Cricetulus griseus: one gene and its partners. The protein of the gene in region 1 interacts with the protein of each later gene in a biochemical or structural test. Links are inferred from orthologs where the notes say so. Each region holds a gene or a part of one and is shown in the gene's direction. Other genes may lie near its edges. The genes, in order: Map3k11, Map2k7 and Mapk8ip1.

Region 1 (9,615 bases):
TCCCCCAATCCATAGAGCAGAGTGGGCCCTAGCCACCCAGGGACCCCACTCCCTACACCAGCCTGAGGGGGATTCCCCAAAGGCCCAGGGGGTGGGGGCTCCTGTCTTCTGTTTTTCCTCCGTTCTCTTTCCAGAAAAAAATGGAACAATAGTCCAGGCCCCTGCTCCCCACCCTCCACACCGCTTCCTGTGTTTCCTGCTGCCCCTGGGCTGGCTTCCTGCCCCAGCTCCAGCCCCTGTTCCCTCCCTGGCCCAGCTGCCTGCAGGGGAGGAAAGAGCTGGGGGTGGAGGGGTTTCAGGAGAGGAAGGAGCCAGGGGTTGCCCCCCCCCCCCCGCCCTAGTTCCCCTGCTTCTCTCTCAGAGTCTGGGTGTCGGTGAAGGGCAGGCAAGGTGCCCTCAGCCTCTGAGTCTGGCATCCAACTTCACAGACCCGGTCCTAGGCCCGAGTTGCTGTCTGTGGGATTGGGGTGGGGGGAGTCCCTGGGCTGGGGGGGGGCTTGGGCAGTAAACAATGGCATGATTTTCCTGGACAATGGGCTCCTTGTGAGAAAGCTTGGCTGAGAGAGAAGGGGGAATTCTCTAAGCCCACGAGTCACAGGACTGACCAGCCAGCCCGGCCTGGACCTGACCTCCCCCAACTCACCCCCAAAGAACACCCCCCAAGTTGGCTCAGGCCTCCTAGAAAGGAGAAGTAGGGACCGTAAGAGGGAAGAGGAAGAGGTGTGAGCTGGCCAGGCTACTCCCTAGCCTGACAAAGGCGAGGGGGGGGGCACACACAGTAAGGAGGTGGCTATGAGGCTTGCCCCAAGGCTTGGGCTCTCTAGCCCTCACTGGATGGCCACTGACCTCCCATGCCCAAGGTCTCAATCAGGATCGGAACAGTAACTTAGGCTGTGAGGAATTCAGGACCCAAGCAGGGTGCAAAACAATCTGGAGGCAAAGCTGGGGATGCAGAAGTGAGATGCTTGGCAAATGCCAGAGAGGAGAGTGGGGAGGTAGCAGAGCAGCCACAGGTATAAAAAGAGGGAGACTGGCTTCCTTACCTGAGAAAGTGGTACAGAAAGTGCTTTGCCTGTCAGTGGGCACCCACAGGTGGCTAAAGACCAGGCTAAAGGTAGTGAGAGGTCCTCAGTGGAGGGGTGGGTCCTGGCTCCAGAGAGAGCTTGTGCTCTCTGCATCCCACCCCAGCCTGTCACAGTTTCTCCTGAGATGAGCTTGCACAGGCCCAACGATGGGTCCATGCTGCCTTCAGCAGCCTGACATGGGGCTGGAAGCTTGGGAGTTAGGATTAAGGGTGGAGAGGAAGGAATGGACTCTGACAGAAGTCAGCACAGCATCTCAAAGCAAATGACAGCTGTCAGGCCCCAGGCTAGAGGTTTTTAAATGTCTGTACTGGGCTAAGACTTTTTTTTTTCTTTTTTTCTTTTTTTCTTTTTTTTAAAGACTATTATGTATACTATGTTCTACCTGCATGTATGCCTGCACCCCAGAAGAGGGCACCAGATCTCATTATAGATGGTTGTGAGCCACCATGTGGTTGCTGGGAATTGAACTCAGGACCTCTGGAAGAGCAGCCAGTGCTCTTAACCACTGAGCCATCTCTCCAGCCCTGGGCTAAGACTCTTTGACAACCCTGTGAGATAGGTTTGTTGTCATCCTATGCTTTATGCCAGACTCAATCCCAGTCCGGAAGAGGAACAGATGGAGTTCAAGACCATCCTCTGAATTAGGAGAATTTGAAAGAAAGTCTGCCAGGCATGAGGGCAAAACAGCCATACTAGGTAGAGCATGTCATTGCTGTCTCACCTAGAGGCCCAAGTTTAAAAGATGCTATCCAGGAGCGGGGGCTGGTGCCCGGAAGAGATAGAGCAGCCCAGAGGTGGTGAGGAGAGTCTGAGCTCTGAAAAGCACCAGAATCGAAGCAGCTAACAATGGGAGAGGCTGCAAGGAAACAGTCACACAGAAGAGGCCTGAGAAATGGAGGGTTTGGGGAGGGCTTAGGCAGCAGTGGAAATGGGTTCTGGATTCAGGCTTTCAGAGATGAAAACCTGGTCCAACACCTCCTCCGAGAAGCCCTCCCTGACTCACCTGGCCACATAGGTGCCCCTCCCCTCTCCCTCACTCTTGATACTTATCATGCCCCCACTGCAAGCCTAACGTCCTGTGCAGGAGATCTGACACATGTTCAAAATAGATGGCACTTCTTACTACAAATGGACTGTTCAGACCGTTGATGATTCATGACTTTTGTCCTCCTATTGCTCTAAAACTTCTCACTTGAGCTTTTTTGTTGTTGTTGTTGTTGTTTTGGTTTTTTTTTTTTTTTTTTGGTGGTGGTTCTCCTTTCTCCCCTTTTGTTTTTTGAGACAGACTTTCTCTGTGTAGCCCTGGCTGGAACTCGCTCTGTAGACCAGGCTGGCCTCAAACTCAGAGAGATGCACCTGCCTCTCTGCGTCTAGAGTGCTGGGATTAAAGGCGAGTGTCACCACTGCTGCTTGAGCTGTTTTTATCCGGGGAAGAGATTTCTAAGTTGCTGCCTCTCCTCCTTGTTCTGAGAATGGTTGCCGCACTTCCATCAAAGTCAGACAGCCCTGTGAATTCTGACCAAGAATTCTTTCCTCCCTTTCCTCCCTTTCTCCTCACACCCTCTGCAGATATCTTACGGAGTCTCCTGCTGTGGGAGGCTGTGGTAGTCACTGTAGGCTCCAGGACCTGCAGGCCTTCTTGCTCACTGAGGGTGTCCGTCCGTCCTAGTCCCCAGCCTAGGTTCCAGTTCACACCTTGCCTCAGCAAAGTAGCAAGACACTCAACAGGTTTCTCTCTCCCTCTCTGTTTTTTTGTTTTTTGAGACAGGATTTCTCTGTATAACAGCCTTGGCTGTCCTGGAACTCATTCTGTAGACCAGGCTGGCCTCAAACTCAAGCGATCCGCCTGCCTCTACCTCCTGAGTGCCTGGCTCAGGTTTTTCTTGAAAGCGGAGCACCAGTCCTGAGAACCTACCACGTTAGTTTTTATTCCATTCAGTGTCAGGAAAACGCTACATTAGCTTTGGAGCCACAGGCTGAATGGAATCTCTGGTTGCTATGACCTTGATCAAGACATTTCCCTACCTGTAAAATGGGAATAATTCCTACCTGTTTGTTCCATTTGGTTTAGTGTGGCTTGTTTATGTAGTTACAACTAAGTGTAAAAATTTGGCCTCTAGCACTCAGAGAAGGAGAAGCAGCAACTTAGAAATCCCTTGCCAGTTAATGTGTGCCACAGTTATCGCTTAAGTCTCACTACCAGCTGTGAGCTTCTCAAGGCGGATCCTCTGTGTGCTTGGTCCTGGTCGTGATGTCTATTGGGTGTGTATGCACCATGCTCTTCCCCTAGCCCCATTACCTCTCTTTTCAACACCCTCTTCTTCCCCAGTTCTGCTGCTGCAGCCGATTGAAGGTGATGACATGGAGCAAAAGACCCTAAAGATCACTGACTTTGGCCTCGCCAGAGAGTGGCACAAAACCACACAAATGAGTGCTGCGGGAACCTATGCCTGGATGGCTCCTGAGGTTATCAAGGCCTCCACCTTCTCAAAGGGCAGCGATGTGTGGAGGTACAGCCTGGGTTGGGACTGGACAATCTGGGGCTACAGAAGGTGAGAAGGGGTGCTTAAGACTGGCCAGATGGGCTGAAGCCAGAAAGACCCCAAATTACCTAATTAATTACTCCTTGCTTTGAAGTGAAGAAAACACACAAATCCCTTGTCTTCCCCACAGCTTTGGAGTGCTGCTGTGGGAACTGTTGACTGGGGAGGTGCCCTACCGTGGTATAGACTGTCTCGCAGTAGCCTATGGTGTGGCTGTCAACAAGCTAACATTACCCATCCCATCTACCTGCCCTGAGCCCTTTGCACAACTCATGGCCGGTAAGAGGACGAGCTGGGCAGGAGAGGGGGAAAATTCCCTAGCCCCAGACACATACATCCACAGACTCTCTTATCCTGCCCCATTAGACTGCTGGGCACAGGACCCTCACCGCAGGCCCGACTTCGCCTCCATCCTGCAGCAGTTGGAGGCGCTAGAGGCGCAGGTCCTACGAGAGATGCCACGGGACTCCTTCCATTCCATGCAGGAAGGCTGGAAACGCGAGATCCAAGGCCTCTTTGACGAACTACGGGCCAAGGAAAAGGTGAGAAGACCCCAGGGATACAAGATGGGGCAAAGAATGAGGTGGGAGGTCTGTCTGGATCAATGCTTAGCTAACCCCACCTCCTTCACTTTCCGGAGCACAGGAACTACTGAGCCGCGAGGAGGAGCTGACTCGCGCGGCACGCGAGCAGCGGTCCCAGGCAGAGCAGCTACGACGGCGCGAGCACCTCCTGGCCCAGTGGGAGCTGGAGGTGTTTGAGCGCGAGCTGACGCTGCTACTGCAGCAGGTGGACCGAGAACGGCCGCACGTGCGTCGCCGCCGCGGCACCTTTAAGCGGAGCAAGCTCAGGGCGCGCGACGGCGGAGAACGCATCAGCATGCCCCTGGGTAAGAGGCGGGGCTCCGGGCTTCTTCTTTGCTATTGGCTGTGGGTGTCTGGGGGTGTGGTCAAACTTGTCTGCTGGCCGCTTTGGGATTGGTTTGAGGTATCGGTGCCCTGACCAGCTGGAAGGCTGGAATAGGGAGGGGTTTATTTTTAGTTGGTTGTTTTTTGTGTTTTTCCTGTGGGCGGGTCGCGATGGGAATATTTGCATGTCCGGCTGCTAGTGGCTGCCAGTGGTGCTCCTGAAAGTTCTGAGGACTAGAGGGTGGGGCTGGCCTCCCTGCACCGTAAACCTACTTATCTACCAGTTAGTCCTGGTGAAGGGGGTCAACTACTTGGCTCGCTTTGCTGAAGGCCTCGAGGCAGGAATTCAACGAAGCAGCGCCAAGCACACAGCCATTGTTGCCACTACCAGAGAGGCCTGGGAGCCTCCCAAGGGTCCCTGAGGTTTTGAGTGCTTCCCCTTCACAAACCTACACCTGCTCTCTCCTTTCAAAATCCCAGATTTCAAACACCGAATCACTGTGCAGGCCTCTCCTGGCCTTGACCGGAGGAGAAACGTCTTTGAGGTTGGGGCTGGGGACTCGCCCACTTTCCCTCGCTTCCGAGCAATCCAGTGTAAGAAACTTGGCCTTCCCCATAGCCCCTAAAACTCCCCATCTGGAGGTGGATCCACCTTCCTCCCTATATCCTGTTCCCCTGCTTCCAGGCTTCCCGCCTCTTCATCTAGAGTTTTACCTTTAAGTTCCCCGTCCCCCTCCCCAAAAAAAACCCACTTTACTTTGTTCCCCAATCAAATAATTACATAATATCATGATTTTTTTTTGTTTTGTTTTTGAGACATTCTTAACTTTGATCCACCTGAGTACCAAGATTAAAGACCTATACCACCACACTTGGTTCCTTTTTGTTTGTTTTTCGAGACAGGGTTTCTCTGTGTAGCTTTGGAGCCTATCCTGGCACTCACTCTGTAGACCAGGCTGGCTTTGAACTCAACAGAGATCCACCTGCCTCTGCTTCTGGAGTGCTGTGATTAAAGGTGTGCGCCACCCAGGAGTTCTTATAGTCTTTATTTTCCTGAATGTTTTGCAAATATTAACTCAGTAATTCTAGTGGATTACTAAGTATAGACGAGAAAATTGAAATGAGTACTTTGCCACATGGCCAATAAGTGCCAGAGCAAATATTCAAACTCAAGTAGTTGAAGGTGACTTGCTAACTGCTGAGTAGCAAAGGTCAGCTGAAGGACTCAGTACATGCTTCCACCTCACTGCTGACTCAGGGCCCAGTCCCACCTAGCTCACCAAATCCCAAACCACTACCCCCATCCTGGCTGTTATGGTGCAGGAAGACAAGGATGGACTCAGATCTCATGGTGTTGTCTTACAGTGGAACCTGCAGAGTCAGGCCAGACTTGGGGTCGCCAGTCCCCTAGACGTTTAGAAGATTCAAGCAATGGAGAGAAGCGTGCTTGCTGGGCCTGGGGTCCCAGTTCCCCCAAGCCTGGGGAGGCCCAGAATGGGAGGTAAGTGTCTGAGTGTCCCCCAACCCTGCTGTTATACTCTTCTTTAGTGTTCTAAGGCTCACAAAGCATGTCTTCCCTGCCCCTCCCTTTCCAGAAGAAGGTCCCGCATGGATGAAGCCACGTGGTACCTGGATTCTGATGACTCATCCCCACTAGGATCTCCTTCCACTCCCCCGACACTTAACGGTGAGTAACTTTGTCTCCCCTATCCGATCTTGCCTAATTCTTTCTGTGGACACTTGGATAGACTGTGAGAAGCCAGCAGGAAGTGATGGATTTCTGCCTTGAGAGCTCTCACTCAAGACTAGGAAACTAAAGGTGAGGCAGGACAGAACCAGACCTAGAGCCTGGGTCACCAGTTCTGGCCTCCAGACCCTTAAAAGTAGACTTACCTGAGGCCTTGGGGCTTCTAGAGACTTCTAGAGACTAGCCCTCCTGTGCAGCACCTCAACAGGCTCCATCAAAGACAAGAAGCAGGGAATGGTTTCTTCCATTTGGTACCCAGAAAAGGTAGAGCCATTCTAATGGCTTCCACAGTGCTCTTTTGAGTTCCTTCTGGGAGTCCATGGGTGGAGAAGAAGATAGTAAGACAAGGCAAGAAAAGATCTGGGGCCTTGTTTGCATCTGGGGAAGTTCAAGGCTTCTGTTCTTCGTAATGAAAATGGCCTCACTGTGAGGGAGACATGTCTAACCCCGTGAGTAAGGAGCCATTATTCTCCCCATTTTAGATGCAAGAAAGTTGAGTCTCCAAGTGGGGAGGGAGTAAGCTACCTCAGATCCCCAGCTAAGGACTCTAACCAAGAGAAGCTGTGGGTGGCTTCCATATTCTCAGCTGGTTTCCTGGGAAGTTTTCCTTCTATACAAACTACTTAGGAAGCTAAATGGGGCTCCAGCACCAGAGGGAAGACGGCTCAGCTCAGGTCAACACTGTCCAGACTCCACAGAGCCAAGAAAGTTGTGATGTGTCTATGGGACCCCCTTCTAACCTAGGACCATACGCAGGAATCCCAGCCCTATCTGCTTCACACAGCAGAATGTAGACCTTAGACCCTATTTCAGTGGCTCTGAGACTGAGCCCTATTCACCAAACTGCCCAATAGCTGTGTGGCCATCCCATTCAGCACCCACAGACGTAGCCATCACCTCCTTCCACATGTTTCTGTAATAATAACAGCTATTGGATTTTTCCTATCTGCTAAGCAGATATGGTCAGTGGCTCCCTTTTACAGAGGAGGAAACTGAGGCACAGAGAAGTTAAATGGTTTGCTGTAGGGCACTGGCAGAGCAAGAATTTGAACCCAGGTTCATCTGACCTTGGAAGCAAGCTCTTCGGCTTCCCTCTACTAAGATTTACTTATTTGTTTTGTTTGTTTGTTTGTTTGTTTGTTTTTCTGGTTTTTTTGAGGCAGAGTTTCTCTGTGTAATAATAGCCTTGACTGTCCTGGAACTATCTTTGTAGACCAGACTGGCCTCGAACTCACAGAGATCCATCTACTTCTGCCTCCCAAGTGCTGGGATTAGAGCTTTGTGCCACCACACCTGGTTTTAATTATTACTTTATTATTTTATATGTTTGGATGTTTTGTCTGGAAGTATGTTTGTACACTGTGTACATGCATTGCTTGCAAACAGCACAAGAGGGAAGGGCATCAGATCCCCTGTAACTGAAGTTATAGATGGCTGTAAGCCCCCATGTGGGTGCTGGGAACTGAACCTAGGTCCTCTGGAAGAGCAGCAATCAGCACTTTTAATCACTGAGCCATCTCTCCAGCCCTCACATATTTTGCTCCAGCAGTTACAGCCCACAGTTGGCTGTTATATGAGGGTTGAACTGAAAACTGGAAGACCTGGGGGATTGAATTTGTTTGTTCTAGAATGCACCAGGCCAGAAGGACCAAAGGAGAATTTGAGGGCCTCTGAACCTGGGTGTAGGTCAGATCAATCCTTGGTGATGTCCTGCCAAGCTCTCTAGCCATAGTTCCCAGAGGAAGGGACACAAGACTTAGATCCCACACCTCTCCTGCTGGTCACTCTTTATGAGAGGACACCACCACCCCAGCCTAAGCATGTGGTTCCCTGACCCAAGCCTGTACTCTTGTTGCCCTCTGGGTCTATGAGAAGAGTACATAAACTTGACCTTCCAAACACCCACAGCTGGGAAGCTAGCTCACAGAGGGCCCACACTCAGCATCTTGTGAGTAGGCCACTACCAGGGATCCCTAGATGGAGGTTCTGGCCCTTGGGAACCTGGTTGCAGTGAGTTCCTCTTTGGCAGCCTGCAGTCAACCTACACTGACAGAAAAATGCCTAAAGGGTATTGCCAGGAGCCACACTCACTAGCCCAAAGCCCCTTGGAAGCAAGTTCGCCTTCAACTCCGGGGCAAGTGTCTAATGCTGTCTTCTCCTAAATAGCAGGAGCTTAGAAGCAAATGTAAATCCTAGGCAAGTTGCCTTGGACAAGCCACTTAACTCTGGGACCTCTATTTCTCAGAACTGACTTCAGGAACTTCTAGTCACCCTATTGGGTTCCAGTCTCCACTCTCACTTCCCTCTTTTCATTTTTCTCCTGCTTGTTTTAGATTCTTTTTTACATTTTTATTACTATTTTGTTCCAGGGAAATCCATTGCCCTTTACTGGTCTCTGCAAGCACCAGGCATGCACAGTAGTACACAGACATACATGCAGCCAAAATACTCATACAAATAAAATATTTTTTCAAAAAGAGGACTTCCTGGGCCTACAGAACCCCCAGCTAAATCCTGTTCACAGCAGCAGCTGACATTCCCTAGCCTTGTATTTCTTTCTCTAGTCACCCAGACCTCCAGACTAGTCAGCTGGGTGCCTGTCACAAAGAGGGAAGGACAAGGGGTTAGAGCAGGCAGGGCTTCGATGACAATGCAATGTGAAGGACTCTCAGGACAGCTGGCTAGGAGGTACAGGAGAGAGCACCTGAGAAGGTGAGGTGAAGGTCCAGTGGCCCTCCCAGACCCCTCCTGTGGAGGACCATAAACAAGCCTGACTGGAGGGGGTCGCTTGCAAAAAGTTACAGCTCCTCTGAGGAAGTGGGCTGGTGTGCTTGGAGGATAGCTATCTTCTACAAAAGCTGCTTCCAGACTTTGTTCCAGGTTGTTGCCCCTGCCCCCAGACCCCTTCCCTTTGACAAAATGTGTGTGATGGGGAGGTTCTGCAGACCAGCAAGAGCCGCTCTGCAGATAGAGCACAGGAAGATGGCAGTGGGAAGCAGAACTCAGTTCTTGTTCCAAGGCCACTGAGGGGTCCCCAGGATTCTCACCTCGCAGACGTACTAGCCTCAATCTAACCTGAGCCACTGCTGCTCACAGGTAACCCTCCACGGCCTAGCCCAGAGCCAGAGGAGCCACGGCGTTCTGGGCCCACAGAACGCGGCAACAGCTCGGGGACTCCCAAACTGATCCAACGTGCACTGCTGCGGGGCACCGCTCTGTTAGCTTCCCTGGGTCTCGGACGTGACCTGCAGCCTCCAGGAGGCCTGAGCCGTGAACGTGGGGAGCTCCCACCAGCACCACCCCCTGCACAGATGCCCTCACCCAGCCCAGCC
Region 2 (10,366 bases), on another chromosome or scaffold:
ATCTCCTTCCCCCCAGGGCTCTCCCAGCTTGTGAACCTTCAGGAGATCAGCTTGCTTCACTCCCCAGCCAGGCTGCCCTTCTCGTCACAGATCTTCCTGCGGGATCGCCTGAAGGTGATCTGTGTCAAATTTGAGGAGCTCCGAGAGGTGCCCCTCTGGGTGTTTGGGCTTCGAGGCTTGGAGGAACTGCATCTGGAAGGACTCTTTCCCCCAGAGATGGCTCGGGCTGCCACCCTTGAGAGCCTCCGGGAGCTTAAGCAACTCAAGGTACTGTCTCTGCGTAGCAATGCAGGGAAAGTGCCAGCCAGTGTGACTGATGTGGCTGGACACCTTCAGCGACTCAGCCTGCACAATGATGGGGCTCGCTTGCTTGCCCTCAACAGCCTCAAAAAGCTGGCGGTGCTACGGGAACTGGAACTGGTAGCCTGTGGGCTGGAGCGTATCCCCCATGCAATCTTTAGTCTAGGGGCTCTGCAGGAACTGGACCTCAAGGACAACCACCTTAGGTCTATTGAGGAAATCCTCAGCTTTCAGCACTGTCGGAAGCTTGTCACTCTCAGGCTGTGGCACAACCAGATAGCCTATGTCCCTGAGCACGTGAGGAAGCTCCGAGGCCTGGAGCAGCTCTACCTCAGTCACAACAAGCTCGAGACTCTTCCCCCGCAGCTTGGCCAGTGCTTTGGCCTCCGCCTGCTGGATGTGTCCCACAATGGGCTTCGATCCCTGCCACCTGAGTTGGGCCTTCTCCAGAGCCTCCAGCATCTAGCTCTCTCCTACAATGCACTAGAGAGCCTGCCCGACGAATTGTTCTTCTGCCAGAAGCTGCGGACATTGCTCTTGGGATACAACCACCTAACTCAGCTTTCACCCCATGTGGCTGCCCTCCGGACCCTCAGTCGTCTGGAGCTTAAGGGTAACCGGCTGGAGGCTCTGCCAGAAGAACTTGGTGATTGCAAGGGGCTGAGGAAGTCAGGGCTGCTGGTGGAGGACACCCTGTATGAGGGATTGCCTGCAGAGGTGCGGGAGAAGATGGAGGAGGAATGAAGCCTAGGGGCAGGGAAGGGGCAGGGTGACACAGAGGCCTTCAGATGCTTTTGCCCCAGCATTGTCTTCCACCGGAGATGTGCAATAGGCCCAGTGGGAGAGGAAGGAAGGCCAGACATGTTGGTTTTGTGCAGTTCAGACAAGATCCTGGGACTGGTTTGTCTGGGGAGAAACAGGAGGTGGTGGATTTGGGGTGTAACCCCACAGGGAAGGATTAACTCAGTCTTAGATTCTTGGACCAAAACCACACCTGTGTCTTTGGCTGGCTGGCTTGTCCTTCCTCTGAACATTCCAGCTAAATTAGTGTCCCATACAAGAGTGGGGGATATATCCCAATGGGATTTCCAACCCTCTCCAATGACAAATCAGCATACATCTAGGGTTCTCTCCTAGGGAGAGGACACAGAGACCAGTTCCGACTTTAATGTCACATCCTTATTTTATAAATCCTTTGCCACAGAGATGGGTACTTAGAACAATGATTCTCACTTTTAACCATGTAATAAAATCAGCTGAGAAGCCAGGAAGAAAATAAAACATCCCACACCCTACCCTGAAATACTGACTCAGAACTTTTGGGTGGGGGCCAGGAACCTGCTACTAAATAAGTATGCCAGGTAATTCTGATTCGGGTGGTCCTGAGATAATGGAATTGTTGACATAAAGACTGGGCTGGGACTGTAACTCAAGTTGAGAGAGAGCTTGCTTAGCATGTAGGAAGCTCTGGGTTCCATCCCAAGCATTTCATAAACCAGGAGTGGTGGAACATGCCTATATAATGCTCTGGAGGTGGAGTGGGGAGGATTGAAAGGTTGAAGCCAGCTTGGAAGACATAGCAGAACTTGTCTCCAAAACAACTAAGAATGGAGACTGGAATGTCCACACACAGAGCTCCTTTTCTAGAGCCTTAGAGAATCCATGAAGCTAAGCACTGCATTTCCTCGGGAAAATGCTTATTTAATATTCATGAAAAATTCTGTAAACAAAGTTAGGCAGTCACAGACCCCCCCACTAGACTACTGTCTTAGTTAGGGTTTCCATTGCTGTGAAGAGACACCATGACCAAAAAGCAAATTGGGGAGGAAAGGGTTCATTTAGCTTATATTTCCACAATACTCTTTACCATTGAAGGAAGTCAGGGCAGGAACTTAAACAGGGCAGGAACCTGGAGGCAGGAGCTGATGCAGAGGCCATGGAGGATTGCTGCTTACTGGCTTGTTCCACATGGCTTGCTCAGTCTGTTTTCTTATAGAACCCAGGACCACCAGCCAAGGGAGGGAACCACCCACAGTGGGCTGGGCCCTCCCCCATCAAATACTAAGAAAATGTCTTATGGGCTAGAGGAGATGGCTCAGAGGTTAAGCCATCTTAACCTTAAGAGGCTGCTCTTCCAGAGGTCCTGAGTTCAATTCCCGGCAACCACATGGTGGTTCACAACCATCTATAATGAGATCTGGCGCCCTTTTCTGGTGTGCAGGCATACGTGAAAGCAGAATGTTGTATACATAATAAATCTTTAAAAAGAAAAATGGCTTGCAGCTGGATATTATATAGGCATTGTCTCAATTGAGGCTCCTTCTACTCTGATGATTCCAGTTTGTGTCAAGACTGGCTGACTCCAAGTTAAGGGTGATAGCTGGTGGAGGCTACCTTTTTTCTTAATACCTGCAGGGACTTTCTTTTGAATGTTTCCTGTGCAGTGGAGAATATCCCAGTGGGTGCTTAATAAATGAGAACTGTAATTCTGACCTCTTTGTATAGTATGGCTATCTAAGCTTTCTATAGCCAGGTCCAAACAATAACACCTACCTGTCAAATCAGGCTGGCTTTCCTGGGAGGAAAGACATCCCAGGTACTTAAATAGAGGGTGATGTAGAGACCTCATCTAATCAAGATAAATTAGATAGAGTTTTCTGCCTATTTTTTTTTCTAAATAACTGCCCCCCTACACACACAAAGTCAGTTGATGGTGATGCATACCTCTAATCCCCACACTCAGACAGGCAAACCTGAGTTCGAGGCCAGCCTAGTCTACAGAGCGAGTTCCGGGAAGGCCAGGGTTACACAGAGAAACTCTGTTTCGAATAGCCAAAACAAAACAAAGAATCCAATTTCCTCTCCTCCCTCCTCCTTTTATCCTTTTAACTCCAAGCATGTTTCTGCTCCACTTGTAGGTCATTGCCAGAGAGTAAGCCTTTTTTAAAGGCCCATCCCAAAGTGTTCACTGTTACTTTCAGAGTGGTGGCACAGCCTAACCTCCTGGGTATGGTCACTTGCTGAATGTCCCTGTACATTGCAAGCCTCCTCCTTGCCCTAAAAACCTAGAGGCAAACTGCTCCTTAGCCACCCAGATTTACAGATAGAGACGATACCCTAGCACCTTTTACTTAACTCTTTAAGCCGGGCAAGGAGCACACTCGGCAGAGGCATCTAACCCCAGCTGAGCCCAGCTTCTGAGGGCGAAGAGATGGGGATGGGGCGTCTCAAGGTCTCAAGTAGGCACGGCCAGGAAGTCTGGCCTTAACGGAGCTCAGGAATCGCCAGCTCTGGATTCCCTCTCCTCCAGTCAGGCCTTGCTCTACTCTGTACCGGCTGGAATGGAAAGGGATTCCCACGGGTGCCTAGTTTTTACGGTGAGGAGACGACTTCACGTTGACAGTGGGAGGTCAGGTCGCAATTAAGCATAACAGGGCCTAATGAAGGGCTGAGCAAGACGAGGAAGGTTGCTCTATGTACGCGGATGCCAGGGAGGGCCAGGGCTGGGAAAAGCCCGCAGGAAGTTAACGGAGGTACTGTGTGAACACGGATCCGGGAACGGCCGTGAGCGTGCGCAGTAGAGGCCGCGCGCGTGGCAGGTCTCCCCTTCTGCATGTATGCTGCCGTCCTGCCCGCCTTCCGCTACATAAAAAAAGGAAGAAAAGAAAAGAAAAACCGTGCTTTTTCGAACTGCGCCTCTGCCAGAAAAGCTGGGAGTTCGCGCATGCGCACTGCGGGAGGCAACTGTGGGTGAGGACAACGCACACTGCCAGCCTGGACCTCTAGGTGGCGTCCGCTCCCTACTGGGACACAGCGCGCACGCGCGGCGCTAACCGCGCGAGGCAGGGCGGGCACGCGCTGGGCTGGGCTGGGCTGGGCTGGGCTGGGCTGGGCAGGACGGAGGCTCGGCGGGGTCATTGGAGCGCAGGCGCAGTGCGGTGTTTGTCTACCCCGGGCTGACGGGCGGCCTGGCGGCGAGCGGCGGCGGGGAAGATGGCGGCGTCCTCCCTGGAGCAAAAGCTGTCCCGCCTGGAAGCCAAGCTGAAGCAGGAGAACCGCGAGGCCCGGAGGAGGATCGACCTCAACCTGGATATCAGCCCCCAGCGGCCCAGGCCCAGTAAGCACGGCGGCGTGGGGAGGGGGCGGGGGGGCGGGCGCGCTGTGGCAGGCCCCGCCCACCAGGCAGATCCCGCCCCCGCTTCCGGGGCGCTAGCTCTCCTCCCCTCTATTCCCTACCGCTGTCAGCTTGCAGAGAGAGGGTCACGGTGACCTGGGAGTCGGGTGGGCAGTCTCCAGGGCGACTTCCTCCCCACACACACCGAGACCCTGGGGTTCACATCACTAGGACATGGGAGTTTAGCCGCTGGGTCCCCTCACCCGGTGGTCGGCCCCCAGTGCCTCGTCACCTGCACCCAGCAGGCTTTCAGACCCGAAGCTTCCGAGATCACAGCCAAGTCTTTCAACCCTACAAATAGTTATATCTCTTTTGACCCGGTGGTTCCACTCCTGCTGCTTCTGTGATTGTCAAGAGGTTCCCCTCCCCTAGCAGACAGTCCAGGCACATGCATACCCATCTGCCCACCCAGGTCACTTAGCCCTCATTTACATCTAATTAGTTTTTGAATAGAGGAGTTTCCGTTTGACTTCTGTGGTCATATCTGATGGCTCCTTTTCCTAAACCTGGAAGGGGCCTTGTCATTGGGCCCAGCTGACTGCCTCCTTCATACAGGGGCACCTCAGACCTCTGTGACCAGCTAGCCTCAGGGTTGCTGTATGGCCCTCTGGAAACACATAGCCATTCCTCAGCCTGGCAGCTTTTGTCTCCTGGGCCCTAGTGACTGCTAGTCCTGCAGACACCTGTGGTCAGTGTGAATGTATCTAGTCCCACCCTACAGACACACACCTCCCTTCTGCCTCTTCCTTCTCTGGGCCTGCCTCCCTGACATATGGTCCTGTACCAACAGCTGTTCCCCCTTCTTCCTATATGCACACCCGGCTTGTCATCATCATGACCACAGTTAGCGTCCTTGTTGTATCCCAGATACCCCTGTCCCCAAGTCTTCTCTGTGAAGGGAATTTGATTTTTCTCCCTCCTCACCAACCCTGTGATCCATGCCTTGCCAACCCTCTTTGTATCCCTCTTGATCCCAAACAATGTCTTCTTTATACTCCTGTGTTATATAATTTTTGGAGTACATTATTAGAATTGTCTGTAGGTCACCTGGTAAGAGGGGAAAGGCAGCCTCCCATAGCTGAGAAATCTGTCCACTCCCTGGTCTCTTGGTAACTTTCACAGCCTGATCTTTTCCCTAATCCCTCTCCAGGGTTCCCTCCATCCTTCCCTCTTCTGGCCTGAGTCTGTCAGTTTTCCTCCCTGGAGAGTTTCTTACAGGGCCTGGGGATACCCAGAGTTCGGGATGCTTTCCCCTGGATTCTGCCTGGGACAAGAAGCAGGGCCAAGCTTTGGAAGCCCCCTGCTGGTCTCTGCATAGCCATCTTCCCCAGCCCCAGAGTGGATGAGACAGGGTTGGGTATGGGGTTCTAGGCACCCTAACAGGTGTCTGTCCCTAGAACAGAGTGAGACCTGGTAAGGCTGGTGGCTGGCAGGCCCCAAGGAGCCCCCTGCAGGTGTCTGTGTCTGTCAACTCCATGCCTTCCTCCCACCCTCCCATCTCTGTCGGTTTCTACCCATCTCTGCAGTTCAGTGCCTTGCGCCTCCCCCTCCTCTTCATTATGATTTGATTTCTTTTCTGTTGAACAAATCAGTTATTTCTGTTGTGATTTATCGTGGTTTTTTTTTTTTTCTTTCTTCCTTTCCCCATCCAGTTATTGTGATCACTCTAAGCCCTGCTCCTGCCCCGTCCCAGCGAGCAGGTACCAGCCTTTTTATCATTGCTGCTTGCATATCTGCACATTGACCTAACCGCTGCCCCTGCTGCAGAATGCTGTCCATCCCCACCTCATGCTGTGTGTGTGTGTTCTGTCTCTTCATTGTCACTTCCTCTCCCTTCACTACAGCAGTGTGAGTCTGGCTGTACTTTCTCTGTGCCCTCCAGCCTTCCCATTTCTTCTTTGGCTCAGCTTCGAACCCCCGGAGGATGAAATGGGCTCCCCTAATAGGTGGGCACACAAGGGTGCTTGTGTGTGAATAGGGTGGGTAGAGGCAGGTGCACTGTTCCTATTCAGTTGTGTCAGTTGTGGAGTGAATGAGTGTCATCACTTGTGTACTGTATCTGCTCTCAGGGCCAGGAACATAGCAGTAAGTAAAACAGACCAAGTTCCTGTCCTGTGGGGCTGATGCTGCAATAAGGGGTCCATCATTAGACACCGAGCAAATTCCTGATCCTGTAGAGTAGTCTAGTAGGATGAGGAACTCTGCACAGGGTTGCTCAGGGAAAGCCCATGGAGGATACAGGATTTGAACAAAAGTGTCCCAGGAGGTTGGGTGAGGCAAGACCCGCCCCCAACACACACATATAAGGACCCCATGCTGGGCAGTTCCGCTATGCTGGTTCCTAGGTATGCAATGTCTCCTGTGTATAAGAGAAAGAACACCTGTGTTGGCAGAGATGAGGAGAGCAGACTGTTGGTGGTAGTGTGTTCCCAGCTTGTGTGTATATATGGATGTGTGTGTGTAGAAGGATGGAGGGCTGGCCCTGTCCCCATTGTGTGTGTGTTCCATGTTTTTGGTTTACATGTGTGTGTGCACGTGAGTGTGTGCACGTTAGGTTGGTAGTCTGAATAGTAAGCATGTGTCCCTATGATCTGTTGTACCGTCTCCCACTCATTCATCCTCACTTCTTCCTCCCTCGTGGTCTTATTCTTACTGTACTCTCCAGGCCTGCGTGTGGCTCAAAAACCCCTCTAACCTCTGTTCTCTGGGCCTGTGTATATTTCTCTCCCCTTTTCCACTCTAGCCCCCATCAAATCCATGCTTCAGAGAGTGGGGCCAGCAGCCATTTCCATGGGTCTGAGGCAGCCCAAGAGGGCTTGGTGGTCTGTGAGGGTAAGGGGACTGGTAGGGTGTGGAGATGGTAGAGGTATGGACCCCAGAGAGCTGAGGTGCCAGGTAAAGAAGGATCACAGGTATCCATGGAGGTGAACTGTGGACACTTCCTAGAGAGTCTGGGTGCAGCTGGGGTCCCAGCCTCGAGGGCTAGAAAAGGACCTGAATGTCAGCAGTTAAAGCCCATTTGTCTCTGCAATCACTGGGCCCAAGTCACCAAAAGCCATGAGGTTGGCTGTGGGGAAAGAAGGTAGTAAAGTTAAGGGTGTGGAGAGGTGTGTTAGAAAGTGGCATGCCTTTTAACACAACACTCAAGAGGCAGAGACAGCCAGATCTCTGTGAGGTCGAGAACCAGCAAGGTCTACAGAGCGAGTTCCAGGACAGCCATAGCTGCTACACAGAGAAACCCTGTCTTGAAAAACCCAAGAAAAAAGAAAAAAACAACAAATTAAAAAACAAAGTGGCAGGCTCCAGACAACCTGGGAAGTCATGTTTGAAGGATGCTGTCTGCTGATGTCCTAAACTGAGCTAGCTATAATCCTTCCAGGGCACTGGAAACTCTGAAATATGAAAGGTTGATGGAGGGGAGATACTTCCAGAAGCCACAGGGGACTCACAGCCCCTGCCCCTAAGCGAGAGAGACTCCTAGATCTTCAAGCAACCTACTCTTAATGTCTCATATCCTCTCTGGCTGTCTATGCAGCACCTCCTCTGGGCAGCTGGGTCCCAAGTCTTGGCTCTTTTTCTGTGTTTCTCTGTCCCCCCCACATCCTAACACCGCCCGCCAGTCCTGGGGTGCCTGCTGCCTGCCCGCCGCCTGCCTGTAGCATGCCCAAGCCGTCCGCATGCAGGCCATTGGGACGTACCAAGCTCCCCTCCCTGGCCCAGCATCTTCCCCCTGCCCAGCCCAGCTAGCCCCTGGAAGAGCTTTGCCATCTAGATCCCTATCAATTCCTCTTCCCAAGAACTCAGGCTTAGCCTGGGTTCTGCTCCCTTGACACCAGTTCTGCAGGCCTGGCTGGGAGATGCACAGATGAGCCAGCTGGCCAGAGGATGGCCCTCCCTGACCTAGGAGTGGAATCTGGGCAAGACAGCCTGAAGCCAGAGTCCCATAGCTATTGGCTCTTGTTTGTACACAGTGCAGTGTTGGTGGCCAGACCAGGTTCCAAGCAGGTCCTGGTGGGCATTCTGTCCTCATGTGGTTCCTATGTGAGCACTGTTGCCCCGGGCCTGCTTCCTGGCACTGGGGCAGGGGTTCCTGGCAGAGAGTCCCTCCATTTCTCTGCAGTATGTACTTGAGGACAAATCCCCAGCCTCTGAGACCACCCCTCTCCCACCAGCCCATCCCATCTCTTTTTAGATCAGAGGGGCAGAGATGGTACCCTAAAGATGCCCCAGGGGGTGGGGAAGGAGGCCCCAGCCAGCAGAGCAGGGGGCTGTGCCAGCCTGGCCAAAGGGACATGAGAGAGGAAAAGATGGGGGCCCCCACCCCTTTTTGACTAGCTAGATGCTAACTCCTTTCATGCCCCTGGTTTTTAACCCGCCAGCCCTGCAGCTGCCACTGGCCAACGATGGGGGCAGCCGCTCACCATCCTCAGAGAGCTCCCCACAGCACCCTACGCCCCCCACCCGGCCCCGCAACATGCTGGGGCTCCCATCAACCTTGTTCACACCCCGCAGTATGGAGAGGTAAGCTGGTGGAGCAGGGACAGCACAGGGCCCTCCTTGTGCTGGTCCCAGAGAGGTGGGTGGTATCTGTGGGACCCTTCTGATCAGCTCGTGTTTTTTCCTTCAGCATCGAGATTGACCAGAAGCTGCAGGAAATCATGAAGCAGACAGGGTACCTGACCATCGGGGGCCAGGTACTACTTCCCCATAGGCACCCTGGGGGCTGTGACAGGACCCAGGCAGGCTAGAGGTGGTGGGTGATAGGAGCAGAGGACCCTCTGGGGACCCTCCAGCTGCCTTGCTCTCCACTCAGCGTTATCAGGCAGAAATCAATGACTTGGAGAACCTGGGCGAGATGGGCAGCGGTACCTGTGGTCAGGTGTGGAAGATGCGCTTCCGGAAGACAGGCCACATCATTGCTGTCAAGGTGAGCCTTCCACACCCCAGTTCCAGGATGTATCCTGTGCCCTTGCAGCCTGCCCAGCACTTGAAGCTCCCCTCCTGGCTGTCCCTCCTTGCAGCAAATGCGGCGCTCGGGGAACAAGGAGGAGAATAAGCGCATCCTGATGGACCTGGACGTGGTACTCAAGAGCCATGACTGCCCCTACATTGTTCAGTGCTTTGGCACCTTCATCACCAATGTGAGCACCATGCCTGAGGGGCCAAGCCTTCTGCCCCAATAGGGTCCTATATGCCCAGAAGTCTCAGGGCATCCTTCTGTCCCCTAGGGTTCTACATATCCCCAGGTACCAGAGTGTGGCTAGGGTGGGGAGGAAAGCATGGCCGCCCCAAGCCCTGTGTGCCACCCTCCTTCTACAGACAGATGTCTTCATTGCCATGGAGCTCATGGGCACGTGTGCAGAGAAGCTGAAGAAGCGAATGCAGGGCCCCATTCCAGAGCGGATCTTGGGCAAGATGACTGTGGCAGTGAGTGGCTAAGTCTGGGCTCATGTGACTAGGTGGGTGCCTCTAGGTTCTGTCCTCCCATGACAGGTCCCTGAACCTGTCTGTCCTACAGATTGTGAAAGCGCTGTACTATCTGAAGGAGAAGCATGGTGTCATCCATCGTGATGTCAAACCCTCCAACATCCTGTTAGATGAGCGGGGCCAGATCAAGCTCTGTGACTTTGGCATCAGTGGCCGCCTTGTTGACTCTAAGGCCAAAACGCGGAGTGCTGGCTGTGCCGCCTACATGGCTGTGAGTGGGGCCTGCTGGATCTGACAAGGGGGCTGGGTGGACTGGCCCTACTTTCAGGGTATGTTCTCCTTCTCTCTCCTTGCAGCCTGAACGCATTGACCCTCCAGATCCCACCAAGCCTGACTATGACATCCGAGCCGATGTGTGGAGCCTGGGCATATCATTGGTGTGTTGGGGCTCTTGTATGGGGGATT
Region 3 (10,146 bases), on another chromosome or scaffold:
GAGAGTGCAGATGCCATTGAGCATCCCTAAATCTAAGCTCCTAGATCCAAAATACTCTGAAATCCAAACTGTTGGAGTGTCAGCTGTGAAGTCTGGACAGATATTCCTGTGCAGAAAACCCTGAACTGTAAAACACCTCTGGTCCAGAGCATGCCAGATAATGGACACTCAGCATATGATGCCAAGCTCCCTACTTGGCTAAAACAGATGGCAGGCACATTTAAGGACATTTTTTTTTATCTCTTAGGGAGCTTGTGGGTTTTGGTCTGGTGGGCCAAAGTTGACTCTTGCAACTCAGCTGTCAGTGCCTCTTCAAGGTGGCGACAGGACAGCGGGGATGGCTGTGTCACTCACTTAGTTAACATACATTACATGTTTCCACACTCAGGATGGGTCCTAGACTCGGAGTATGTTGTGAACTGGACTGGCAGCCCCCACCTCCACCTTGGGTGATACTAGTAGGAGGAGACAGAATGTAAGCAGGGTGTTTTAAAAGGAAAAGGTGCGCTTCCCCTTCTTCCTCTCTTGCTCCTCTCTCTCTCTCTTACCCCTCATCCCCCTCTCTCTCCCTCCCTTCGTCTCTCTGTCTTCTCCCCCTCCCACTCCCTCCACCTGTAATAAACTCTATGGTTAATGAAAAGAAAGAAAAGAAAAGATGTAGCTCATAAGGAGAGAGAAAGGAAGGCTGGGGTGCAAAGGGGCTGCTTACTCATGATCTGTGCTTTAAGAGTCACTGGTGTGGACTGTGTCTGGGACAGGCGGGGCAGGGGTGGTTAGCTTGGAGTATAGATCATGGGAGACACCAGCAGTGTGCAAGCCTCACATCTGGGCCTAGCTCAGAAGTACTGGAGCACAGTACTACTCCCTGCTGGAGTGGGTATTATTGTGATCATTGTCTATACAGTCTGACTAGGCAGAGGGGCCCCTTGAGGGAGTTCTGGGAGAGAAGCCACCTGTGGAACAGAATGGTCAAACTTGCCTCTGGAGGAGACTAAACACTTGATGGGGCCCTACAGAGAACCAGGTAGGCAAGAACCACTTGAGAAACCTGACGCTGATGCCAAGTGATATCGGCTGTGCAGAGGATTTCTTGTGCCTTTCTTGCCCTATAGTATGTTACCTACTGGCATCTCGGAGGCTTTGCTCTATACCTCATTTAGGTGGTTAAGCCAGGCAAAGCTCTTGAAGATGGAAAGGAGCCAGGAAGTCAGAGGATGTGATAGGAGCAGACATCTTTCCAAGACAGACAGTGGGAACATCATGGTTTTGGAAACCCCAAAAGTGCCTCCTATGTATAGGCTAGGGCATCTGGGCCTCAAGACCCTCATCTTTTGTAGTATGTGCTCTAGAGGAACAGAACCTACACAATGTTCATATTTAAAAGGAAGTACTAGATTGTCTTTCTTACACAGTGGGCTAGGCAGTCCAACAGTGGCCATCTGCACACTGAAGAGGCTAAGAACCCAGGAACTGCAGTTTGCAAGGCTGGTTCTGAAGCCAGACAAATTCCTGGAGAGCCACTGGTCTTCAATATGAATTGGAAGGTCAAAGAAGGGTCCCAGTGCCAGTGAAGAAGGGCAGCAGCAGGATAGATGCACCTAGCAGCAGGGAGTGCAGTCAGGCAGACAGAAGCAGACCTCTATGTCTGGACTGCTGCTTGAAGGTGCTGCCCCCTATCCTTCAGTAGTCCTCCTAGGGAATGTCCTCACAGACCTGGTTGGAGGCAGGGCTCTTGGTTGATCCCAAATCCAATCAAGTTGACAACCAAGATTAACCCTTACAGCTGTGAAATGCTTTGTAACTCTTGTCACCTGCCCTACCGCTGGGACACACGTATCAGTATGTCAGGGAGAAAATCAAAACCTTTGTGTGAAAAGTCTAACTGTGAGCGAAGCACACCAGGCAGAGGAGGGCGTGGTGCTACCTTGCATGTGCTTCCGAGTGACTTTGATCACCTGACTGGTGGGGCTGTGGACCCAGTCAGAATTGTGTGGATGGGAAGAAGTGCCCCTTCCGGCCCATCCCCTGTCCATTTTAGTCACATGACATGGGCTGCAGGCCAATGCCTGAGTAATCATTCCCTGCTTTTAGTCTCTTAGCTCTGCTCTATTGGCATTGTAACCCTGCTGTCTCTGGTGCTTGCTGTCTCATGAGCAGTCATTATGAGTTAAATCAGTATGCAAAAAAACATCTCTGGGATCAGTGGGTTCCATGCCTCAAACCCACGCCAACTGAATGTTCTCCATTTAGTTTTTACAATGTTCACTAAACTGAAAAAAGAAAACAGTGAGCTTCCAAATAGCAGTCCTGTCAGCTGGTTCCCGTAACCCCCAGAGCTGCTGACACAGACAAGGTTGCATCAGCCTCCAGTTATGCACCGGCTTCTCTCATTCATCCAGTGATTTTACCGTGGGACAGCGTGTGTGTTTCTTTCCCTTTCCAGCTCTGCACAGCAGTCTAGTGAGAAACCCCTCCATGCACAGAGGGCCATGGCCAAAGAGCCCCTTCCCTCACTGGCCTGTGCCTTGTTAGCACTGAGGTTTCTCTACCTAGAATGTGACTTCCAGAATCCCCATTGTTACTCTGACACTTGTGCAACTGGTCTGTGACAGATGTATCACTGACAGTGTATCCAGTGTGGAGATGGAAGCAGCCCAGCCTTCCCAGAGAGCCTGGCTCTGCATCCCAGGCCTGTGCTCCTGCCTGCAGAATGTTCAGATGTATCTCAGCTCCAATTCTTATCTCCTGACATGGAGGGGGTCATTAGAAAGGAGGCTGAGTGCTTTCCATAAATGATAAATGTTGGTGGAGCTAGGTTTAAATTGAATACATAATATGTACCTGTGTAGGCACATGATAAGCTAGGCTTAGTGATGTATGCCTGCAAGCCTAGCATTCAGAAGACTAAGGAAGGAGTGTCAGCAGTCCAAGGTCCTTAGTTACATAGCAAATTCAATGCCAGCCTGGATGATATGAAATCCTGTCTAGGAAGAGAAGAGAGAAGGGGCAAAATAATTTTTAAAAATCACATAATATGCCATTTTGTTTCACTTAAAATGAATTTAAAATTGGGAGGTGGTGGCAGAGGCAGGAGGATCTCTGTAAATTCAAGACCAGCCTGGTCTACAAGAGCTAGTTCCAGGACAGCCTCCAAAGCCACAGAGAAACTCTGTCTAGGAAAACCAAGAAAAAAAATGAGTTTAAAATTTAAAGATATGCCCATAATTCCATGAACTCCAAGAGTCGAGGACAGAGGAAACAAAATGGAGGTGGCACTGGAGTTTTTGTTTCAGAAGGAAGCTCTTCTCAGCTTTCACAGCAGCAGACAAGCTCTGCTCGGAAACTACTCGAAGTGCCTCTGTAAACACAGGCTGCCTAATGGAAGAGTCCGGCTGCCTACTGCAGCATGTTCTCCAAGAGGAAGGTGGATGGTGCAGTTATACTTGGTTTAAAGGACAAGATCCTGGGAACTGCCCACATGTGTATCCACTTCTGCTCTGCCTTCTGCCCAGCTTCTACAGTCTAGACAGAGTATCACTCTCCAAGTGCAGGTGGCTTCAGTTGGAACTATGGCCTTAAAAGGATTGCCTGAGCTCTGAACACCTGTAGTCCTAGCATCTGAGAGGTAGAAGCAGAAAGATCCAGGAGTCCAAGGCTGCCTCAACTGCATAGATAAAATACCCGAAATGGGATGGAATGTGCTAGAAGGCTAACATTGGATCCATGTCTCTAAATTCATCTGACTTTTACATGTGTTTTCTCTTTTCTAATACCTTCCATTTTAGTTTGTGTAGGTGTTGATCTCTATGCCACTATGTTGAATTTATTCTTTTTAATATCTTGTAAAAGTCTTGGTGAGGAATAATATAAAGTTCACTAACTGGTTAAAAACAAAACGACAGGGCCTGGAGGAGAGATGCTCAGAAAAGCACCGGCTGCTCTTAGAGAGATCCCAAGGTTCAATTCTCAGCACCACATGGCAGCTCAAAACTGTCTGTGACTCCAGCTCCAGAGGTTCCTGGCTGGCTTCTGGGGGCACCAGGTACTCATGTGGTACATAGACATAGATACAGGCAAAATAGTCATACACATAAAATTAGGAGTTTTCGGGGGGGGGGGTTGTTTTTTGTTTTTTAAACCCACAGAGTTTTTGAATCCTGAAGACCTGGGAATTCCTATATTGGCTATTTGTATGGACACTCGTGTCAGTTCAGTTCCTCATTTATGAAAATGGAGGCAAACAGGTTGTCTTGGTCTGTGATTGTCCGTGAGAGCTGCCATAGTAAAGCACCACAGAAACAAATCCTTGGTTCTGGAGTCTGGTTCAAGGTCATAGTCTCTGGTGCTTGCCGAGGTTTTTCCCTCTGTTTTGTCTGGGTCAAAGTTCCTTTTCTATTTTCGATCACCCTAGTCATCTCAGTTTTACCTAAAGAGAGTCATAGGTGCTGGGAGTCAGGACCTGAGCCACATAAACAGGGACATCAATTGTGAACACAAGAGTGTACCTGCGCTGCAGCCACTCCATCAGCCTATTATTACAGGCATCCCAGTAAGTATGATGGGCTAACCTTGTCCTCTGGTATCTGGTGAGGCCATTTCTCTCTCTGCCCCAGATCCAGAATGTTCTAAATCTTTAAAATGAGTCATCATGTGTCCCCATTCCCTTTCTTTTCCCCCACCCCCAACCACTGTAGCCATGTGCCAGGATCCTGTGATTGGTGTGTGGAAGTTTGCCCTGCTGGTTCTAAACCCATTCATTGCCTTATTCTTCAGAACCACTAGAACCAGGCAATTTCTCATGCAGCTACTTTTCCCAGCTCTCCATCTCTGATGCAGTAGCTGTGCTCTGCATGTGTGAGCAAGTACCCTTCAAGGTATCAAGTGATGCCCATGTAGCCCTGTTCTATACTGCCCTCATCCCTGGGTAAGAGGGCATGCAGGGAACAGTTGTCCTGGGTTCAGAGATGCAGTATCCAGCCACCCCCATGGTTGCCCAGCAACAACCTGGCCCTGGGGACTGTGGCCCAAGCAGCATGTTCACTAGGTTGTCCCACTCCCAGTCTGGGAATCCCCAGGGATGCAGCCAGAGGAGCTGGTGCCTGGGCAACTAAGCAGCCTCCTGAGTACCCTCTATGTACATGTTTTTCTCTTTCAGCTGGAGAGCCATCGCTCCATGACACAGCCCGGGTGCCTGAGCTGCCACAGCCTACAGAGAAGCCAGTCACCAACAGACAGAAGGAACGAACGTGTGTGTGCAGAGGAAGGCGTGGTGTGCCATTTGCGTGTGCATGCATCTGTTTACACTCTCATGATCCTGAATGTCAACTGGGCTGGAGGAGTCTCTCGATCATCCCTGTCACTGGGGCTGCTTCCTCACCTCCAGACACAGGACCAGAAGCCACAGCAATGACCTTCAGCCCAAATATGTTTCTGGGAGCCCCCTTCCTTGTCCCAGTAGAACATGGTGGTAGGATCCTAGCTGGAATTCTGGTCTCTGCCTCCCCAGACTCCTCTTCATCCCTCATCTTTTCAGACAGCTGGAAGGCCACATTTTTTTACTCTCGACTAAAGTGTGGGGTTCCAGAGGTAGCCAGAGTCCTGCTGGTTTAGTTCCCATGTTCTGACACTAGAACCTGAGCAGGCTGGAGTAAAGGCTTCCCATTTAAACATAACTGTCCTGTCCAACCTTTTAAAATCCCATGCCATTGGCAGGCTCTTCCCTTGGATGTCTAAGACTGCAGACTGGAGTGTTGTATGCTCAAGTCCTGCCTATGTCAGCCTCAGACAGCATATCTGTCTTTGTAGGACCTTCTAGAAGCCAAGTGAGGACTAGACTCCCAGTCTCCTGTCTCTTCCCTAGCAGCTAGGGCCCAGCCTTGGCCTCCTAGGAGCTGTTGATAGGCCAGGGTCAGAGCTGGTGGAGGAAACCAGGTCCTGTGTGGCTTGAGGGCCCCTGGCTCCTCTGGCCACACTCCCAGGCACATGCTCCAGCAAGTATTGCTGACACCCAGCCAGGCAATCTGGCCAGTCTGTGTCCTGCAGGCTCCCAGGGCCCACCCTGGAGTGATCAGCAACCACACTGCCATGTCAGCTCTTCAGGACTAAGGGGTGGGGCACTGCCTGGGGCAGTTGATGAAAGGTCAAATAGAGATCACAGCTGGCACACCACCCCCTTCCCAGAGAGGCAGTGGAAGGTTTGGCCCAGAGAAGCCAAGCCTTGCTTCCCAGGGGAGCCACCTCTCCCTCCCACTGTTGGGTCATGTGGAGAAAAAAGTTATGAGAAGGATTGTGGGTAACTGAGCAAGTCTTCCTTCCATCCCCGTGGCCTGCACTTGAGCCACAGTGTATTCGTGTGGGGAGAGAGTGTGTGTGTGTGTGTGTGTGTGTGTGTGTGTGTGTGTGTGTGTGTTCCCTGTGTGGATTTTTGTTCTCACATGTAACATTAAGCTGGCCTCTGGGCCTTTTCCTCTCTACCTCCCCTGTGACCTTTCCTAGCCTCAGAGTTGTTAATGCCCTTGGTCCTGGCCTACACTGTATCAGACCAGAACCCTGGGGCCAGGCTCCCCTCTCCTCCAGCTGTCCAGCACATCTGACAGGCTTCTTTTTGAGATGGCCTCAGGTTTTCTCAGCAAAGAGCTGCCTTTAGTCCAACTGTTTATGTCCATCATTCTGACTAGAAACATCTTATGATCATGTGGAGAAATGACACAGGTGATGTGTGTTCAGAGCCCTGGGGTTTGGCCTCCCTGCTCCCCAGCCCCAGGCCAAGAGGAAAGAGCCAAGAGATCTTGCTGGAGGGAAGGTAGAGTGAGCCTGGTCTGAGAGGATCAAAGGCCAGGTCCTGCATCCAGTATTTATTTCATAGCACCTTCAGCTATGGGGACAGTGCCCTTCTTTTTGATGATGGCTCTCTTCCCAAGGTACAAGTTGGCAAGATCACCTGCCCCTCCACCTCCTTGACATGCTGGCCCATTTTCAGGACAGCTTTCCAAGGAATGAAACAGTCCACCCACCCCCAGATCTATGGGATGGAATGGCCGGGAGCCCTGGAGTGGCTTCATGCCTCCTTTTGCCTAGCCTGAGTGGCTTTGAGGGTTGTCTCAGAGCAGTGCCCCATGTCCTGCTGCTGGGACCTAGCATGGGTAAGAGATGGTCGCAGGCAAGAAGCACTTTATAGAGTTCCCTATTGCTGGGAAGGTTGTGTTTCTCCCACAGTTTGTTTGTGAATATTTCCCTGTTTTATAAATGTCTGCCCCTGTCTGAGTAAAGCTGTGTTGTGTAGTCAATCTTGTGGGAGGTTGGGGACCTGGGGCTGCTGAGGTTGAACCTGGGGAAAGCTTCAAGATAGGCCATGTCTGTTCTCTTGGAGTCAAGAGTCTCATTCCCCCTTGGATAGAGGAGGCTGTGGAAGCCACTATAGCAGGCTGGCAGCAGCCCTAGAGCTTGGTTAGAATCAGAGTTAGCTGAAACAATACAGGGCAGGAGACAGTTCCTGAATGTCACCTCACAGTGGCACCAGGCAGCCTACTGAAATCCAGGGCCCTGCATCCATTCTTTATGGTATTCTAAAAATGAATGTGTGCCCCGTGGACACAGTTAAGGAAGCCATACCCAAGCCCCGAAGCCTAGACACTGGCTCTGTCTTGGGCCATCTGGCCAGAGTGCCATGCACATGGGTGTTCCTGGTGGGAGAAGGGCTCAGGCAAAGCCAAAGAAAATCACAGTCTGCTCTAGAGACAGGAGAGGACATTTACTCCAGGACTCATCTCACTCCTGGCTCTGCCTCCAAGTTTCTGCTGGCCTGCTTCCTACCAAGACCAGGGCTGGCCTTGCTCTCTGGGCTTTTCATGTAGTTCTGGCTTGGCTAGTGAAGCTGAGATACCTTTGTTCTTTGGCAGAAGGTTCTAGAAGAGGGAACTGTCTTACATACTCACGCTTCTGCCATCCTGGGGATGCCACCTATCTGCAACAAGCACATATTAGCCATGATAACCAGACAAGTCTGCTTTCCTGGGAAGAAGGAAGGCACCATAACAGCAGATGGTTAGGGTACGGCCTAGTGTGAGAAGCCTGAGCCAAAAGACTGAAAGTTAAAGTGACCAAACCACCTCTTGAAGCATCAATGGCAGGGAGGGGAGAGGCAGCCAAGGCCTCTAGCTCTGGGTTCTAGAATGTCCTCAGGGCTGAAACATGGAGATTGAATATTGCAAGACATGTGCCTGCAGCTTCTTGCTAGGAAGGAAAAGGAGGCAACATTCCCAGTTGTCAATTAAGATTTGCAAGCAGAACTCTACAGGCTGTATGTAGAGCATTTGTCTGCCCTGTTCCATCTCTGTGAAGGGCATAGTCTGGCCAGAGGAGTAGTGAAGGTGTGTGGGAAGCACTCTGACTCACCAAAGCTAGGGCCCTGGCCTTGACAGTCCATGTTGTGTGAGAAAACCTACTACAGGACCAGAAAAAAAAATAAAAACAGCTAAACTCAGAGTGGATGTGGGGAACAGAACCAACAGCCCCCAAAAAGCAGCTCTGGGGGCAAGAGGAAGGTCTGGGCCTTCAGATGGGAGAAGCCAGTTCAGGAGTGCATGGGTGAGAGAGGGAAGACAAGTGCTGGGAAACTGGGCATGGGGGTTGACACAAATCCCCAGGCTTAGCAAGAGACTCAAAAAGATTGTCACCATTCAAAATCAGCCTGGGTTACATAGTAACTTCCAGGACAACCTGAGCCCTTGACAGAGGTGCCCCTTTAGGGAGAGTTCTGGGAGGGGTGAAGGCTAGATCCCAGTGCACAGGTGGGTATTCCCTGCAAGCATTTCTATTTTGTTTCTTCTTCTGCAGTCATGGAGGGATCATACCCCATTTCACAAAATGGGAAAGACAACCCTTAGAGCTGTCAGGTCACCAATACAAGCCCCCACTGCCTGTTTACTTGTGGAACCAAGCTGTGGTCTTAAGCCACCTGGATCCAAAGCTGGCTACTCTTGGACTCTACCACCCTTTCCTTTCTCTGCCTCTTCTGAAACCTCCTTCCCAGTCCCGTTGCTGTGGAGGACCAAAGACCGACTTGGGGATCAGTACCCTGCCATTAGCTACCTGATGCCCTGGATCTAGGTCCCGTTCTCTGGGGCGCAATGCTTTTCGGGTGCCTGTAGAGTCCTGTGGGATGTTGGGGGAGGGTGGGTGCACCCAGGGCCACCGGACCAAAGCGTCAGCACCTCGGAGAGCGCTGGGGGGCGGGGCGGGGGCGGGCCACGAGACCCCAGCCTGCCCGGGGGCGCGCGCAGGGTGCTATCGCAGGGGCCGCAGGCAAAGCGGCGCGCGGTCCGGAGCCGCGCCCGCCCCAGCCGAGTCCGAGCCCCGCGGCGGCGCGGCCTCCTCGCCGCGCCTCCTCCTCCGTCGCCGCCGCCGCCGCCGCCGCTGCCTCCCGCGCCGCGCTCCGCCCGGATGGCCAGGGCTGCGCCCGGGAATGGCGGAGCGAGAGAGCGGCCTGGGCGGGGGCGCTGCGTCCCCGCCGGCCGCCTCCCCATTCCTGGGACTGCACATCGCGTCGCCTCCCAATTTCAGGTGAGGATAGCCGCCGCGCGCGCCCCGCCCTTCGGCTTGGCCTTGAGATCCCCGGGGACCCCTAGGGTGGCTTCACTTCCTGGCCGAGCCCCCAGGCCCTGCAACCCAGGTTGGTCTAGGTTGGTGGCCACTGCGTACTTCCCGTATCTCCCTCCACCATTCCACGTCCTGGGGTGGGGTGCTCGAGGTGGATCTGGGGCAGAGACCTGGGAGGTCGCCTTCCCCCTCCACCTTGATACTGAGAATGGGTCTGGGGTTTGGCTAGAATTCCCGGTGCAGCAACCTATGCAGACTTTACCCTACTACGTCCCAAGGTTTCCGGCCCAAGGTGGGAGCAGGCAAGGGGTTGGGGACCCGCGGGCCGTTTTCTGAGCTAACAACCTTGATGCTTTAAGGAGGGATTCGTGAGCCCCTCCCCCAGCTTGCCTGGCCGGCTTGCTAGGCTGTCGTAGGCAAGGTCTTCTAGATTTAGGCAGCTCCCACCTGGTCAGTTGTATAGGCAGAAGGACTGGCCTTAATCAGTGGAACCCAACCTGCCTGTGGGAGGGGAATCTGCCTATGAATATCCAGGGATACCGTTGGGGG

What was found.
Region 2: of the proteins of Map3k11 (region 1) and Map2k7, one has a biochemical effect on the other in vitro, tested with the Homo sapiens proteins (2 studies listed by BioGRID). The link is inferred for Cricetulus griseus from reciprocal best matches to the Homo sapiens genes MAP3K11 and MAP2K7.
Region 3: the proteins of Map3k11 (region 1) and Mapk8ip1 form a complex in vitro, tested with the Homo sapiens proteins (2 studies listed by BioGRID). The link is inferred for Cricetulus griseus from reciprocal best matches to the Homo sapiens genes MAP3K11 and MAPK8IP1.

What each region holds. Positions count from the first base shown.
Region 1 is NC_048596.1:53,643,340-53,652,954, reverse strand, and holds part of Map3k11 (mitogen-activated protein kinase kinase kinase 11), read left to right. Parts: intron 1-3,414; coding exon 3,415-3,595; intron 3,596-3,758; coding exon 3,759-3,907; intron 3,908-3,994; coding exon 3,995-4,170; intron 4,171-4,273; coding exon 4,274-4,517; intron 4,518-5,016; coding exon 5,017-5,130; intron 5,131-5,901; coding exon 5,902-6,037; intron 6,038-6,131; coding exon 6,132-6,223; intron 6,224-9,379; coding exon 9,380-9,615. UniProt on the Homo sapiens protein: Activates the JUN N-terminal pathway. Required for serum-stimulated cell proliferation and for mitogen and cytokine activation of MAPK14 (p38), MAPK3 (ERK) and MAPK8 (JNK1) through phosphorylation and activation of MAP2K4/MKK4 and MAP2K7/MKK7.
Region 2 is NC_048597.1:89,045,953-89,056,318, forward strand, and holds the start of Map2k7 (dual specificity mitogen-activated protein kinase kinase 7), read left to right. Parts: upstream 1-4,216; 5' UTR 4,217-4,293; coding exon 4,294-4,417; intron 4,418-6,126; coding exon 6,127-6,174; intron 6,175-8,853; coding exon 8,854-8,995; intron 8,996-9,101; coding exon 9,102-9,168; intron 9,169-9,287; coding exon 9,288-9,401; intron 9,402-9,495; coding exon 9,496-9,615; intron 9,616-9,793; coding exon 9,794-9,901; intron 9,902-9,992; coding exon 9,993-10,172; intron 10,173-10,257; coding exon 10,258-10,338; intron 10,339-10,366. Other genes in the region: volume-regulated anion channel subunit LRRC8E, read left to right, coding at 1-1,044. UniProt on the Homo sapiens protein: Dual specificity protein kinase which acts as an essential component of the MAP kinase signal transduction pathway. Essential component of the stress-activated protein kinase/c-Jun N-terminal kinase (SAP/JNK) signaling pathway.
Region 3 is NC_048599.1:84,330,087-84,340,232, forward strand, and holds the start of Mapk8ip1 (C-Jun-amino-terminal kinase-interacting protein 1), read left to right. Parts: upstream 1-4,696; coding exon 4,697-4,718; intron 4,719-5,155; coding exon 5,156-5,246; exon of another isoform or gene 5,247-5,672; intron 5,673-9,108; coding exon 9,109-9,561; intron 9,562-9,680; coding exon 9,681-9,889; intron 9,890-10,146. UniProt on the Homo sapiens protein: The JNK-interacting protein (JIP) group of scaffold proteins selectively mediates JNK signaling by aggregating specific components of the MAPK cascade to form a functional JNK signaling module. Required for JNK activation in response to excitotoxic stress.